Linked DNA regions of Tamandua tetradactyla. The protein of the gene in region 2 purifies or fractionates together with the protein of the main gene of each other region. This does not show direct contact. Links are inferred from orthologs where the notes say so. Each region holds a gene or a part of one and is shown on either strand. Other genes may lie near its edges.

What was found.
Region 1: the proteins of KIF23 (region 2) and RACGAP1 purify together in Homo sapiens (co-immunoprecipitation; 10 studies listed by BioGRID and IntAct, counting the BioPlex papers as one, with this or other methods). This does not show direct contact. The link is inferred for Tamandua tetradactyla from reciprocal best matches to the Homo sapiens genes KIF23 and RACGAP1.

What each region holds. Positions count from the first base shown.
Region 1 is NC_135333.1:111,047,601-111,051,351, reverse strand, and holds the start of RACGAP1 (rac GTPase-activating protein 1), read left to right. Parts: upstream 1-989; 5' UTR 990-1,148; intron 1,149-3,751.
Region 2 is NC_135338.1:73,118,632-73,122,382, reverse strand, and holds the start of KIF23 (kinesin-like protein KIF23), read left to right. Parts: upstream 1-1,340; 5' UTR 1,341-1,489; coding exon 1,490-1,500; intron 1,501-3,050; coding exon 3,051-3,120; intron 3,121-3,751.

The sequences.
Region 1 (3,751 bases), on a different chromosome or scaffold from region 2:
TCTCGGGATAGACCTGGGAGATAGGGATGGTATTATTATTATTGCTGAAGGAAGTTAAATATAGAAGGATTAAGTGATAGTGCAGTTTTTCAGTGGTATGCCACCACCCCAGTGTTCAATAGGTAGATGTTCAAATGGAGACAGATTTTCAGGTTATTAAACCTGTGCCCTGTTCATTAACCCACAGTGCTTCTTGTATGCCCTAGCACAGTATTGTTTTCAAATTACTGGTAACAATTCATTATTGAGTATTAAAGGCAATGAAGTAGGAACTACCAACAGAGGGGAAAAAAGAGAATATACAAATTCAAAGTATTTTACAAGTAGTAGGGGTACATCGCCTTCTGTTTTCTGTGATACTTGGCTTAATATGAAAAATATTTCCCACTGGGTTGAAGTTAAAAATAATAATAGTAATGATAAAGCATGAGAGCGTCTGCGGGAGCACAATGCCAGGTTCTAATGAAAGTTATTTAGTATTGTTTCCCCAGCTGTCTCCTCCATTCGTAGCCACTGAAATAAAGCAGAGACCTTTATTTTTCCGATCCTTAGCAGAGTACTTGTTACAAAATTGCCACTTAATAAATGTGTTAGATGAAAGCCTGAATGACTGCATCAATCGATGAAGGGATAATAACAGTTCAGTAACTGCGGTTGAAAATGACCGCTTTTCTATCTCCTGGAATTTTTCCTATTCTACCTCGAGATCCAATACTGTTCATTTGATAGTTTCCAAAAATCCCTATTTCCCGGTCTGGGAGAGACTGCGACGCCAAAAATTTTTTGCACTCGGAAATACCATTTGCCCTTAGTCAACATGGCGTCCTGAGTGACTTCAGGAGAGGGCGACAGAAAGTACCATTGACCTTAATCAAAATGGCTATTGAGTGGCTTCGGTCTACTAGAATGCACATGCCCAGTTCTGTCCGGTCTCACCCCCACGCGACCCTAGTGCGTGCGTCCTAGCGTAACGGAGTAGCGTGGGAAGAATAAATTGCTCTGTGATTGGTTGGTGCGGGATTTCAAACCCGAGCTGGCGGCGCGCTACTGCTCTGCAGTTGGTTGCAGAGCGTAGGGAAGTGGAAGGCTGCCCCGGGTAGGCCCCGGTGGACCCGGGCGAAGCGAGCACTGGGGCCTACGGAGAAGAGGTACGTCTGACGCTGGATTTGTGATAGGAGGGAGAGTGTCCGAGATGGTAACCCTTGACTACTGCAGGGGGTTGGAGGGAAGGCGGCAGCTACAACCCTTCCATTAGGGCTTTCCCTGGGGCGGAGGCAGGCCGAAGGGGCTAGGTCTGGGGCTCGGATAGTGGGGCTTTCTTTCTTGGCACCGCGTTTTGTGGAAAGCCGGGGTGTCTTTTTGAAGTGGTGTGTTTAACAGGGCAGGATCCGCCAAAAAAGGTGGCTCTCACTTAAATTCAAAGTTTGGGAATGAGTGGGGTAACACCCCTTATCCTTTTTTGGAGGGCATTTGTGGAAGGGAAAAGGCTTGGTGTATGAGAGGCGGGCATGGTCTCGAGGTATGAGGGTGGGCCTTAGCCCTGTCCCTTTTGGGCTGTGTCTTAGGTAGGCTGGCCGAGGCAATGACATCTTACCCTTCTCATCCTAATTTTTAGCCTCAGTAAGGACGAACCCTTACTTTCCAGGCTATTTTTAGAGTTTCCAGTACATTTATAGCAAATTCCTTTTTACAGGATTTCATTCGTAGGTGGAGAGGTATGTAGAAAGACGGGATGGGTGGGTAATTAATTAGCCTTAAAAAAAGAAAAAAGAAGTGGCATTTTCTCTCTTTATAATGTGTAGGGTAAATAAGCTTTTCGAGTTATTGAAGGGGTTTGGACAAAAATGCCTTTCCTATAGTTTAATCATTCAACAGGTATTTGTTAAGGGTAAAGAATAAGTTCAAGACAACTTTATTTTGCCTTAATGAAGCTTGTGTTTTGTGTGAGATGATAGCTCCTAAAAAGATAATTGATTGTGGTGAATATGATAGGCTAATACCTTGTTGAGAGGACGGTACATTAGTACAACCTTTTTAGAAAATATTTTGGCATTATTTTATCAGAAGCCGTAACATGTTTTTATCTCTGGTGTAGTAATCCAAACCTTGGAAATTTATTCTAAGGAATACAGCCACCTGAAGAACAGTAGTATTCACAGAGCTGTTCAATTCATTCATTCAACAAATATTTATTAAGCATTTTACCAGCTGTCAGATACTGTTGCAGGCACCAGGGCTCAGCAATGAACAGAACAGACAAAAATTCCTTCTTAAACTCTCGTGGACAGACAAATAAACTAAATAGATAGTTAAATACATATTGGATGTTGGGTGGAGATAAATGCTTTGGAACAAAATAAAGCAAGGAAGTCTTGGGTGAAAGGCTGCAATTTAAAATCAGATGGTTAGGGAAGACCTCACCGAGAAAGTGAGATTTGAATAAAGACCTGAAGGAGGTGATGGCAAGAGATTCCAGGCAGAAAGAACTGAAAAACTGGAAATTACCTAAATGAACAAAGAAGAGAGTGGTTAAGCAAATAATTGGTCATTAACTCTTTGGAACTTACTAGAGAAAAAGCAAAGCGAAGTCATATTTAATCTATGACTACAAGTCTGTGAGATGAGTGCACATTGGTCAAAGATTAGGAAGGGGTGTGCATGTGGTTTAGAGTGGTGAAGTTTTTGTTTAACTATTTAAAAAATCCATTAATTTTTTTGAACATGGTTAATTAACAATATGAGGCAGTGTTTTATATCTGCCAAATGAGTATTATAGTTAATAAAAAGATCATTTTGGACTGAAATGGTTAGGTGGGGCTTTAATGAATTGGTAAAATTTATACTAGACCTTGAAGAATGGAAGACTTCAGAAAGTGAAGAATTCACAAGAAAAACAGGAAAGTTTGGTATGCTGAACTGATAATAATTTTCTAAAAAATAATTCATCTCTTCCCTTATTTTAGTCTTCATTTGTTTTGGCCTGAGGATGTTCTGTTTACTCTTTCTGCAGTTGATTTGCACATAAAAACATTTGGTTTTAAGATATTTCTTCTACCTGCCAATTGTATAGAGGCTTTTGGAACATATGTTTATATGTTTACCTTTACCAGGCAGAAACTGGACATTTGGGAAAAAGAATTGTTCTGAAATATTTTCATGTGAAGGAATCTTATAGTATTGAGAATGTCTTTTGGGAATGGTTTTCCTTTGCAGCAGAAAAAAACCCGTATTGTTGATTTCTTGGGAATCTCCAGATTTAGCCGTGTTTGTGAGAATGTTTTTCATTAAAGTTCTTTCCTGAAAAAACCCAAGCAACCTTCCATTACTTTATCTTACATTATTTAATACCCTTGTTGATCTAAAATAACTGATGTATAGTGTGTCAATAGTGTTATTTGTAGGGGGTGGAGAAAAAGGATGGTGACTTTTCCCAGGATACCCTGCAGTAAGAGTAATGGTCTGTTATTCTGAAGGACAATGTCTGTCTCTTGGCTGGGTGATTGAAATTAAATTGGGGGCTCAAAGCAATCACCACAAGCTGAGACTCATCCTGTTGCCAGATTGCTCCTTTAGGAATACTCACAGATTGGTAATCTGTAATATAGTGACTTCTCCACCTCTGGGGCTCCCCATCAATAACAACTGAGATTTCTAGCACCTTTTTGTTTAAAGTGTTCCACAAACTGATTTCATTTCAGCTTCCCTGAAAGGCAGTCGCCTCTGTATTGAGAAGTAACAGCTGTTTTACAGC
Region 2 (3,751 bases):
CAATAAAAGGAGCAGGAAAATATATAGGAGATATTAAAAATGTAATTTCAGAATGGGGAAGGCTTTTCCTGGTATAACACTGAGAGACTTATAAATCAAGCTACGTTAAATTTTTTTCCAAGCTGTTAAAAAAAACAATATAAACAAATTAAAAACAAACCAAAATAAAATGTGAACCGGAAAAAATATTTGAACTCATATTTTGGATGAGAAGTAATTTCCACAATATATGAAGAGGTTCTATAAATAAATAAGAAAAACCAACAGCATTGTTAGTAGAACAATGGCACAAAGGACATAATGTCACAAAGAAGAAAACACAAATGACATACACATACAAATGAACACCAATCTCATTTATTATAATAGAAATGAAAATATAAACTATAATGTGATTCCCCCCACCTCCACCAATTAGGTTAATACCTATTAAAAATTTGATAACACTTTGTTGTGAGAGGTATGGAGAAACAGGCACTCATACAGACTCGTGGGAGTGTACATTTGGGCAAGCTTTATGGAGGACAATTGGGCACTAGCTATGAAATATTACGTAGCAAGTAATTTTGCTTCTAGGAATGTTTTTATACTTGCATTGTATAAATAATGTGTTCACAAGTTTATTCACTGTAGCTCATATTGTAATAGCAGCAACGGTAACCTTTCTACAATATGGGTCAAGGGTATGAAATTACGTCTAACCTTTCCATTCCCATGCTCCTGTAGAAAGTAGAGGAGAAGGGACTAAATTTCCATAAAAGTACAGACGTAGATGCATACTTAGTAGTCACTGGATTGGAGACCAAAGCCGAAAACATGAAATATATTCAATTCATCGAAAACTAGAACCTATTCCTTAAGGACAGTGACCAAATTTTATTTATCTCTCCCTGTCCGGATCAAACACAATTAAGGATTTGATAAAATAATGTAGACAGATGGGAAAGAGTGGTAGAACCCGGGAACGGGGAATCAGAAAGGACGCCAAGGTGCTGTGGTTACCTGGAAGCCAGAGAGGGACACTCTGAGTGTTGCTCACCTGTAAATCAACCCTGGAATTGCCCTTCCATTGGACTTCTTGTGATGTAGGAAAATAAACCTTCAGTTTCCTCATCGGAAGGAGTTGGATTTCATAATATCCGAGCTCTCCCCTCCAGTCTTCAGCTCCGACATCTAGACTATCAACCTCTCCGCGTCGGTCGCCCAGGAGACGAGCGCCACTTCCGGCAGACCAGTCACTTCCTCTGCGGCCACGCCCCGTCCCCGCTGGAGGGTGCTGATTGGTCCGTTTGAAATGCGCCGGGCGCGAGCCTACCTGGGCTCGCAGCGGCGCTGTCGGGCTTTACGGAGCGCTGCGCCTGAGCAGCGGTGTCTTTCCCGCGGTGCGGCCCAGCGGTTCAGCGGCCCAGCGGCCCGCAATCTGCTCCAGCCCCGCCAGATCGAGCCCGGCGTCCCGCGCGCGCGTTAAGGCAGCACGGAGTCTGCTGCCATGAAGCCAGCGTGAGTTGCCAGCTCCGGAGCAGGGAGGGCGGGAGGTCTGGGCGGGAGCCGCGGACCTGATTCTCCTCACGCCGTATGCGGGCCGTAGGGTCTGGACCAAGGCCTCGCGCTGCTCCGCCGCAGCCCCCAAAGTGAGAGCCTCCACGTGGGACTGCTCGGGATGAGGGCCGGGCAGGGAGACTTTCTCCGCGGTGTCCCGCAGACTCCCGCCACCCCTGAACCAGACGCCGCTGGCCCGGTCCGCACCGGGAAAGTCAGCCCGAAGTTGGGGGGTGGGTGGGTGGGTTATGTAGTGACCCTGGTTCCCGTTAGCAGTGTTGTCATGCGCCTGCCTCCGCCAGACCTTTCTCAGGTTCCCGTTTTCTCTCCACCACTGCATTTTGCAGGGTTAGTGCGAGTCGGGAGGCGACTGTCATCTGGATCTTCTCACGGGTTACACCGAGTGTTGGTTAGTTGCTCTCAGTCCCTGGAGAGCGCTGGCGTTATAGAGCTCTGCGTGCTTTTCGTAGTCTAGCTCTGTTGCATGAAGGCGGAGGCTAAAACCTTATTTGGGCTAGTCACTTTTGCCCTATTCTTAGGTCGTAGACGGACACCCGCCCACATTCCTCACTGAGTACCTGACATATTTTCGGAGGAGCTTAATTTCTTGATCACTTATTGCAGACAGAAGTACTTGATATGCAAAGAAGATGGTTGGCCTTATAATTATTCATAATTTTAGCTAGTCCTTTGTAGAGGCAATTTGTTTTATTAAGAGACCAAAGTCAAAATCTTAAAAAAGGTGAATTTAAGTAAGCCTACCACAATATTTTACCCTTTGAAAAGGCTAATTTCCTTCTGCTTCGTCTGGGAAATTTTTGAGAAGACTCTTCTAATAATCTACAGCCCAAGTCAGTAATTTCACTTAATTTTAAGGTTAATTTTCCATCTAGTCTATAGATAATGTAGGGGAAAAGTGGCATGCTAGAGAAATGGTGAAATACATGAAAATATCTTCTTCTGTTCACCTTACATCAAGAGAGGAAGAAATTTGCAATTTCGGACCACTCTTTTGGGGACAAAGGGTGGTAGTTTTGAGAATTCAGTGATTATTTCTTCCTTGAAAGTATGAACAGATTTTAATGAAAGAATGGATTCTTCTATCTGCACTTTAATAATTTATTGACGTTAACCACTTGTCAGTCTTCTGTGGCAAATGGTTGTTTGTGCCGTATGTGCTTGTGCACGTGTATAAATGCCTTTACAGATAAATATGGTCAGTTATCTGTAGATTTGTCAAATTTGTAGTACCTCTAAAATTGTTCAAGAAATTATGCAAGCTCTTTAATTAACCAAAGAGGAAGTAGGTATATTTGGTACCAAAATGTATTTGAAACCAAATTTTAATTACTTTTGGACTATATATACCACAAACATTCTTCTATACTGTTGCAATTTATTATTCATATTAAGAAATAATTTTATAAACCCTAGGAAGGTTGTCTTTGTATGAACTAAGCTGAGATTTCTGTATGTTGGTGCTGAATTGAAACATTTTCTATCTTTGACAGAAGGAATAAGACACCCAGGAAACCTTTAGTGAAGAAAGGATCCCAAACGAACCTTAAAGACCCAGTTGGGGTAAGGGTGCCCTAAGATTTGTGTATGTGCGTTCTTCGACCCAATTCTCTCATGGGAGGAATGGGAGAAAAGATGTGGAAGTGGAGTCAAAGAACATTTAGTTAGTTAAAAGGATTGTACTAAATTGCATAAGGCTAGTTCTAAGCTGTGAAGTTTTGTTTCTGTATGAGATTCATTAGTCCACTAAAATGAAATCTTCAGTTGTTGATCGCATGCTTCCTAAAACTAATTATAATCTGAAATATTAGATAATTTAAAATACTCTTCAACCTGGTTTGTACCCTCTGGAATGGGGGGAAACTTTCTGCTTGGATGATTGAGCGTCCTCTCCCATCTTAGGACTGCTTATAAGTATAGTTTGTAGCTTTCTTTATTAAATTTGCCATCAATTACTATAGCTCCAAACTCTGCTTCTTGGGGCCAATTATTATACAGATTCTGGTATATAATAGCTTTTTTCAGTCTAATGCCTACTCATAATTGCAGGTACTTCACTAATTTCAGGCTTGTGAGCTTGCTTTTAAAAGCAAATGTCAAATAGACAAGGGGCCTCTCTGAAGCAACTTTCACTGGCACTAGTCTGTGTCTCTGGGTCAGAGTTGAGGGAATCAGGTTCTTCGTACACAGCTGA